Macaca mulatta: one gene and its partner. The protein of the gene in region 2 binds, or shares a complex with, the protein of the main gene of each other region. Links are inferred from orthologs where the notes say so. Each region holds a gene or a part of one and is shown on either strand. Other genes may lie near its edges.

Region 1 (3,747 bases), on a different chromosome or scaffold from region 2:
TCCAATCTGTAGCAATCCTGTCTAATTTAATGAAGCAACAAGTCTAATTTACACTTAACCGCCTCCTCACAAAAATACAAATAGCAACCTTTGAATATTATTAGGTCTTCCAATGAAAAAGGATACAAAATCTCTAAGTTGTCCAAATATTTCATCCACTTTTCCAATTTGTTCTTTGTTTTCTAAGTAAACAGGAGCATTGAAATAAGGCACCTTATTTTCATCTGTGGTACATTTACAAACTATGTCATCTTCACAGGGATGCAGGAACTCTCCTAATACTGAAATAGGACAAGAAAATATTAAAACACAGAACTATTTCAAACGATACTGACCAACTTCTTCTGGAAGCTTTCTTCCTGGCTACCTGGGACTTCACCATACCTGCTCTCCTCTGAGGCAGAAGACCACAGTCATTAAGAGTGTGGACTTCCTGGGCTGGTATACCAACTCCACAACACACTAGCTATGTAACCTAGGAGAAGTTACCCACCCTTTCTCTAATTCAGTGTTTCCTCTTTAGTAGACACTAGTAACATATAATGTACAGCTATACCTAATATACAGTAATGTAAGGACTCAATGGAATAACCAATTTCAAGTGCTTAAAACAGTGCCTGGCACATTGAGACCATTCCACATGTAACAGTTATCTTATTAAAATTTATTATCTGATTCAAAACTCTGCTTCATTCTCTTGGTTATTCCTTTTCTTCACTCCCTTTTCTTCAACCCCTAAAAGAATTACCCTTTGTTCTTTTTTTTTTCTCTTGCCTCAGAACTTTCCTATTCCCACTACCACCTCTTTAACAATGATTCATTGTTTTCAAGGACATTTGGAATCTCAAAATAACTACCTTTAGTTCTAACTAACTAGACTGTCCCCCTAAACTAAAATAATTAACACATTCCTGCAAAACCAACTCTTCATTCCTATCACCCAAGCGCAAAACCTGGAACCCTTTATTATCAGCATTAGCTAAGTTCTACCGATTTTGTTTCCTTTGAAATCTCTCTCCTATCTAACCCTTCCTTTTTTTCCTCACCATCCTGAATCAGGCTCTCAATGCCTCGTGTATGGACTGGTACAACAGCTTGCAGGCTGGGACCTTTTATTCTAGAAACTGCTCCTTTCAAACCATCCTGCATACTCATCCAACCATTCTTAGACACTCTTCACCCTCTCTCCTCTTTAATGTAGTAAGTTTCACTCTCTGTGACTTCCATTCCCATCTCATTATTAATTACTATAAAACTATCCTAAATGGGTCTTTTTCTCGACTTCCTCTTTGGCAGTTTCCCTCTCAAGCAAATTGTTTTCTCACTTATCTACTTTTAAGTAGTAATGGAAAGCATGGGCTTTGGAGTCAGAATACTTGGCTTTGTATTTCTTTTTCTGTACAGACAGGGTCCTTGCTTTATTGTCCAGGCTGGTGTCTAACTCCCGGATTCAAGTGATCCTCCTGTCTCAGCTTCCCAAGTGTTGGGATTACAAGCGTGAGCCACGGCACCCAGCCTGTATTTCAGCTATACTTATATTTCAGCTATAAAAACTTAACTCTAAATCATAGTTTTCTCATCTGTAAAATCGGGGAATTAGGGATAAGTACTCACTATTACCTATTTAATATCTTCCTGTCAACCCTGAAGTTCCACTTCCATGATGCATTTTAAGTATCCCTCAGCTTTCTTGATCTCCCCACCCCACCCTTACATGCTACTGTACGATTATGTCAGTTTACATCATTCTCCACACAGGCTTGTGTATCCCAAACTTGCTGGACTAATAACACAAACCCACAACCCACCCCTATTCCTTCAAATAGGCTAAATATTGAAGACTGCATACACACTACACGTTCTGGAGGTCCTTGGTCTTGGCCTTTGTTAAAGCCTCCGCGGCCACCCCCTCGTCCAAATCCTCCCCTGCCGCCGCCTCTGAAATTGCCGCCGCCTCCACCGCCGCTTCCACCTCGGAAGTGGTTGCTGCTGCCGCCTCGGTTGAAGCCGCCACCTCCACCACCTCGATTAAAGCCTCCACGACCTCCGCCTCGAAAAGACATTCTCTCTCCTCCCTGGTGAAAAAAAAAAAAACGACCCGTGTCTTCTGATCACTGTAGCATCTGAGTACACTCCAACCCCTCGGAGCCGCGGTGAGAACACCATAAAGGGGACAAAAGCAGCCCTGTCACCTCACCCACGGTCAGACAGCCAGTGACCACCAACCTGATGGGTGAAGAGTTTACTTCCTCATGGTCTCCTGAGCGCCGACCGACCAAACATACCAGCCTTGCCGCCCCAGGATTAGTACCTCCTCCCCCTTCAGACAGCAAGGTCTTCGCACTGCATCCCCTTCCTTCCTCCCTCCCTCCGGCAGCTGGGTTCCGCGTCCACCATTTTCAAATCCTCCGGCTTCTACGGTCACTCACCGGCGCCACGTGCCCCTCTGGCCCTGGCCTTACGCGCACACCCACCTACTGGGTACTTCCGCCGCGCTGGAACCTCCTCGGCTACCGTACAGCCACAGAGTTTTTTAGACCAGAAACTGGAATAACTGGTTTGCAAAAAAAAGGTAGTCACGCGCGGAACCAGCGACACTGGTTCCAAAACAGCCTTTAGCTTTGGAAAAGTGGCAATAATATCTAACCTTAACCACTAATTTACAACAGAGAGGTCAACTTGCCTAACGCCGCGCCGTGGAAGTGACGTATAATAGCTGCGTCCTTCGCAGCACGACGTCCCGGAAGTGCTGCGGCAATGTTGCTCTTGGAGATAGCTGGCGTTAGGGATCCGCCTTCTCTTCCAGAGGCGGGGTGGGTTTCTGTTTGGTTCCCGCCCTGACTGCCAGAACAACTGCCAGCACCTTGCAAGAAACAAGGTTAGTTTTTGAAGTCCGTGCCGACTGGCTGGGCGCATTTGCTTCTCAGACTAAATGGTGCCCAACAGCGCTCAATAGTTTGTTGCTAACTTCAGCAACTGTGTGGACAGGTCTCTGAGGTATCTGAGCCGCGCTATGTCCAGTGGATCTGGTCGCCTCAGAACCTGTCACAGCCGGCGGAAGCGTTTGTCTGAGTTTCTTGTTTCTTCCCGACCTTTTGATTTTCGCACCACTGAGCGCTCAGCTGTGCTTGTTCTTTTGCGCTATGGTCTCACTAATTAGAGGGAAAAAAGCAATGCATGTGTTTGTGTAATTTTAAAGAAACTATGGTGTCTTATAGAAAACCAAACCATCATTTTTATCTTTTGTACCGGGTATTCATTCAAGTATGTTTTGAGCACCGACAGGATGTGAAGCGGACTGTGCTGGAGGCTCCTCTCCTTCTCGTCTTAAGCCCCTTATATTTGACATCTGCTTCCTCCACATTCTCCAAAGCTTCTCTCACAAATAAAGGTAGTCACTTCCCATTTATTAAATTTGGCTGGAGCCTTTTACAACCAAACCCTCTGAGACCTTACCTTGATATTGACATCGTGTTTAGAAGAGGGTGGAACTTGGTACCTATCTAACTGAGAGGGTTATTGTAAGGGGGATTTTAAAATACCTTTGTAGGCGGGGTGCGGTGGCTCACGCCTGTAATCCCAGCACTTTGGGAGGCCGAGGCGGATGGATCACTTGAGGTCAGGAGTTCGAGACCAGCCTGGCCAATACGGTGAAACCCCTTCTCTACTAAAAATACAAAAATTAGCCGGGCATGGTGGCGCACACCTGTAATCGCAGCTACTCGGGAGGCTGAGGCAAGAGAATCG
Region 2 (3,647 bases):
ACACCTCTGCCCTTTGGTGTTTTCTCCCAAAACCACCCATGGGGGAGTGGGGGGCTGGAGTGGCCACACCTGGACCTGGGCATCTGCGGATGACGGCCTAGTGCTCTATGGTCGCTGGGCCCGAGGGTGCTCCGGGGCTGGTGCCCTGACCCCAGGCCGCAGGCCCAGCCGAGCACAGGAGAGGCACAGTACCCTGTCCAGGGAGGAGGGGCCTCCGAGGCCCCTCAGGCAGAACATCAGCTCCAGCCGTGACAAGGAGCGACTTGGGGACCACCACGTCTGTCTGCTCCTTCCTGTCACCCCAATTAAATTCTTCCCAAAACACTGGTCAAATGACCACGTTGGGTCACACACCATTCACTATGTGCAATGTCTAAGTAGGGCACATTGTGTATTAACTCGTTCCCACAAGGAAAGCCCTGACTCTCCCCCAGATACAGGAGGAAACGGCCCCAGCCCCACGTCGGGGTCCCCAGCCCAGAGGCCGTGTTACCTCTGATGAGGTCTGCTGCCAGCTTCCTCTGCAGACATCCTGATTTGGGGCATGGGGTGTGAGAAGCCCCCCAGGGACTCGAGTGTGCAGAGGAGCCGGGGAAGCCCTGACCTTGTGACTAAAGAGTCCTCACCGAGCCCTCCAGTCAGCCTGGGTGGGACACAGAGAAGCTAATATCATGGCCTGGGCTCAGCCAGGCTGATGTCTCCCAGCCCAGCACTCCAGTCCCTCACTGACGCAAATCCAGCTTGAATCTGCCACAATCCCTCACACTCTTATCAGCTGAACACTGCAGACAAAATCTCGCAGCCATTCAAACGCAGCCACCTAGAAGTTAGCTCATGATGGACATCTCCTACCCCGGGTGCTCCCCACACAGGTGCTCCCCACAGTGAGTCACCAAGAGGGTGGGATTTTATCCTCTCGTGACCTAAATCCAGCAGATTAAAGATTCATGCAGACCAGCATGAATTAAAAGACAATCGGGGGCCAGGCACAGTGGCTCAGCCTATAAACCAAGCATTCTGGGAGGCCAAGGTGGGTGGATCACCTGAGGTCAGGAGTTCGAGACCAGCCTGGCCAACATGGCAAAAGCCCATCTCTATTAAAAATACAAAAATTAGCCAGGCGTGGTGGCAGGTGCCTGTAATCCCAGCTACTTAGGAGGCTGAGGCTGGAGAATCGCTTAAACCCGGGAGGTGGAAGTTGCAGTGAGTGAAGATTATGGCACTGCACTCTAGCCTGGGCAACAGAGCAAGTCTCCATCTCAAAAAACAAAAAAAAAAAAAAAAAGAGAAAGAGAGAATCGGATCCACATCCCGAGGAGGGGCAAGGAGGCTGGTGGTAGTGTTTCCATCCAATATAAACCGCTTCTGCTTTACAGACCCCAGAGACCACTTGGCATAAACTCCTGATTTCACAAGTAACAGAAAGTGAGCTCCGGGCAATCAGAGCCCAGCACAGAATCCACTCGGGCCAGGCCTGTGATGGGGGCCCTGGCTCCCAGCCCAGAGCCGCACAGCCAGGGAAGCACCGGCGCCGGGACGACAGGCGCACGCTGAGGCCGGGGCTGGTGCTGCAGGACTTCGAGAAGCAGGGGACCAGCGTGGGGGTACACTACCTGATTCCAATGCTTTGCAACTTGCTCCAGACACTCTTCCGGTAGAAAAAGAGCCTGTTCTTCTGAAACGTGGTCTCCGTGACATAAAAAAAAGACCTGAGCAGCTCGACCACATACACACTCATCAGCCAGTGCAGGAACTTGGCCAGGATCTCCTCCCGCAGGCGGTGCTCCGCGGCCGGCACACAGCCCACCCCTGAAACGAGAAGGACACCGCACATCCAGCTCACCGCAGGGCTGGCGACCTCATCGCAGACCTGCACCATCTGGTACGACAGCCATGGCCACGGGGAGCCCAGCAGGTCCAGGCTGAGATGGCCGCACACGGGACCCACACACGGGATCCCGCAGATCAAGCACAAAAAATGTCACATGTCCTGTGAGTGACGCTCCCACCAATGACACCCTAAATGATGAGCTGTGGACGTGCTGGGCTTCAGTAAAATTATTATTACGTTAATTTCACCTTTTCTTTTTTACTTTTTTAATGTGGCTGCTAGAATTTTTTTTTCTTTTTCTCTATTTTTTTTTTTTTTTTGAGACAGTCTCCCTCTGTTGCCAGGCTGGAGTGCAGTGGCGCAATGTCAGCTCACTGCAACTTCCAACTCCCTGGTTCAAGCGATTCTCCTACCTCAGCCTCCCAGGTGGCTGGGATTACAGGCACCCACCACCATGCCCGGCTAATTTTTGTGTTTTTAGTAGAGATGGGGTTTCACCATGTTGGCCAGGTTGGTCTCGATCTCCTGACCTTGTGATCCATCCGCCTGGGCCTTCCAAAGTGCTGGGATTACAGGCGTGAGCCACCGCGCCCAGCCTAGACATTTAAAAATGATCCACGTGGCTCATGTCATGCTCCTGTTGGATGACAATGGCTCGGAGCCTCATCCTTTGTCCTGGTCCCTAAGCAGAAGGGAGGAGGCAGACACTTCCCCGCCAGGCAGCACATCGGGGCTGGCACCAGACCGTAGGTTTGTGTGATTTCAAACTCGTCACCACGGAGCCCAGATCCCAACGTGCCTGGGGTTTTCCAGGCTGAACCCAGGCCGAGCGGACGCTGCTGTCACCCACTGGCTAAGGAACGCCGGCCACGTGGTGCTCCAGACACTCACGGGCCAAGATGACCGCCCTTCTCGTGAGTCTCCACATCTTCATCTGTGCATAAGCAGAGGTCCCCGGACGTCACTAGAAGCCATGGAGGCCACAGTGCAGGTAAAGCTGGGGTTTACCAGCAATAACAAGACAGAAGAACCAGGCAAAGGACAAGGAAGGGGACCCCAGAAGGCAGGCCTGAGACAAAAGACAGACAGGGAACAGAGGAGGAAAAGCAGGGCAGGGACAAAGCTAAAGAAACACCGAACACGGAAAACAATATTAATAATGGTTACCTTGTGGGTGTGTCAAGATACCCAAGATAGAACTAAGTCAGCAGGGAAAATAGCACATAGGCTGGGGGTGGTGACCAGAGTTAAAATATACTTAAGGCTCTTACTGCTCAGGACAAGGGTAGCAATGTTTCAGACTTCATTTTAAAAGATCAGGGTAGGCCGGGCGCGGTGGCTCACGCCTGTAATCCCAGCACTGTGGGAGGCCGAGGCAGGCAGATCACTTGAGTCAGGAGTTTGAGACAAGCCTGGCCAACATGGTGAAACCTCATCTCTACTAAAAATACAAAAATTAGCCAGGTGTGGTGGCGGGCACCTGTAATCCCAGCTACTCATGAGGTTGAGGAATGAGAACTGCTTGAACCCAGGAGGCAGAGGTTGCAGTGAGCCGAGGTTGCGCCATTGCACTCCAGCCTGGGTGACAGAGTGAGACTCTGTCTCAAAAAACAAAAGCAAACAATGACAATGAAAAGATCAGGGGGTAACACTAAGCAAAGGGAAATAAAAGCAAATGCCCAGTGACCAGGAGGCAACGACAGGATCCACACACACTTGGCAGGAAATGCACACAGCAACCCAAGAGGTAGTGAGAAACAAGGGAACGAGGACACGCAAAAGGCAAATGGAGAATCACAGTGCACCAGACGGGTCT

Evidence for each region. The genes of interacting proteins can lie anywhere in the genome.
Region 1: TERT (region 2) and GAR1 share a complex: the UniProt entries of both Homo sapiens proteins name them as parts of the telomerase holoenzyme complex. The link is inferred for Macaca mulatta from reciprocal best matches to the Homo sapiens genes TERT and GAR1.

Annotation. Positions count from the first base shown.
Region 1 is NC_133410.1:119,117,603-119,121,349, reverse strand, and holds the start of GAR1 (H/ACA ribonucleoprotein complex subunit 1), read right to left. Parts: upstream 2,705-3,747; 5' UTR 2,475-2,704; exon of another isoform or gene 2,430-2,474; intron 2,420-2,429; exon of another isoform or gene 2,227-2,419; intron 2,076-2,226; 5' UTR 2,064-2,075; coding exon 1,850-2,063; intron 282-1,849; coding exon 127-281; intron 1-126. UniProt on the Homo sapiens protein: Required for ribosome biogenesis and telomere maintenance. Part of the H/ACA small nucleolar ribonucleoprotein (H/ACA snoRNP) complex, which catalyzes pseudouridylation of rRNA.
Region 2 is NC_133411.1:2,405,990-2,409,636, forward strand, and holds part of TERT (telomerase reverse transcriptase), read right to left. Parts: intron 1,810-3,647; coding exon 1,614-1,809; intron 1-1,613. UniProt on the Homo sapiens protein: Telomerase is a ribonucleoprotein enzyme essential for the replication of chromosome termini in most eukaryotes. Active in progenitor and cancer cells. Inactive, or very low activity, in normal somatic cells.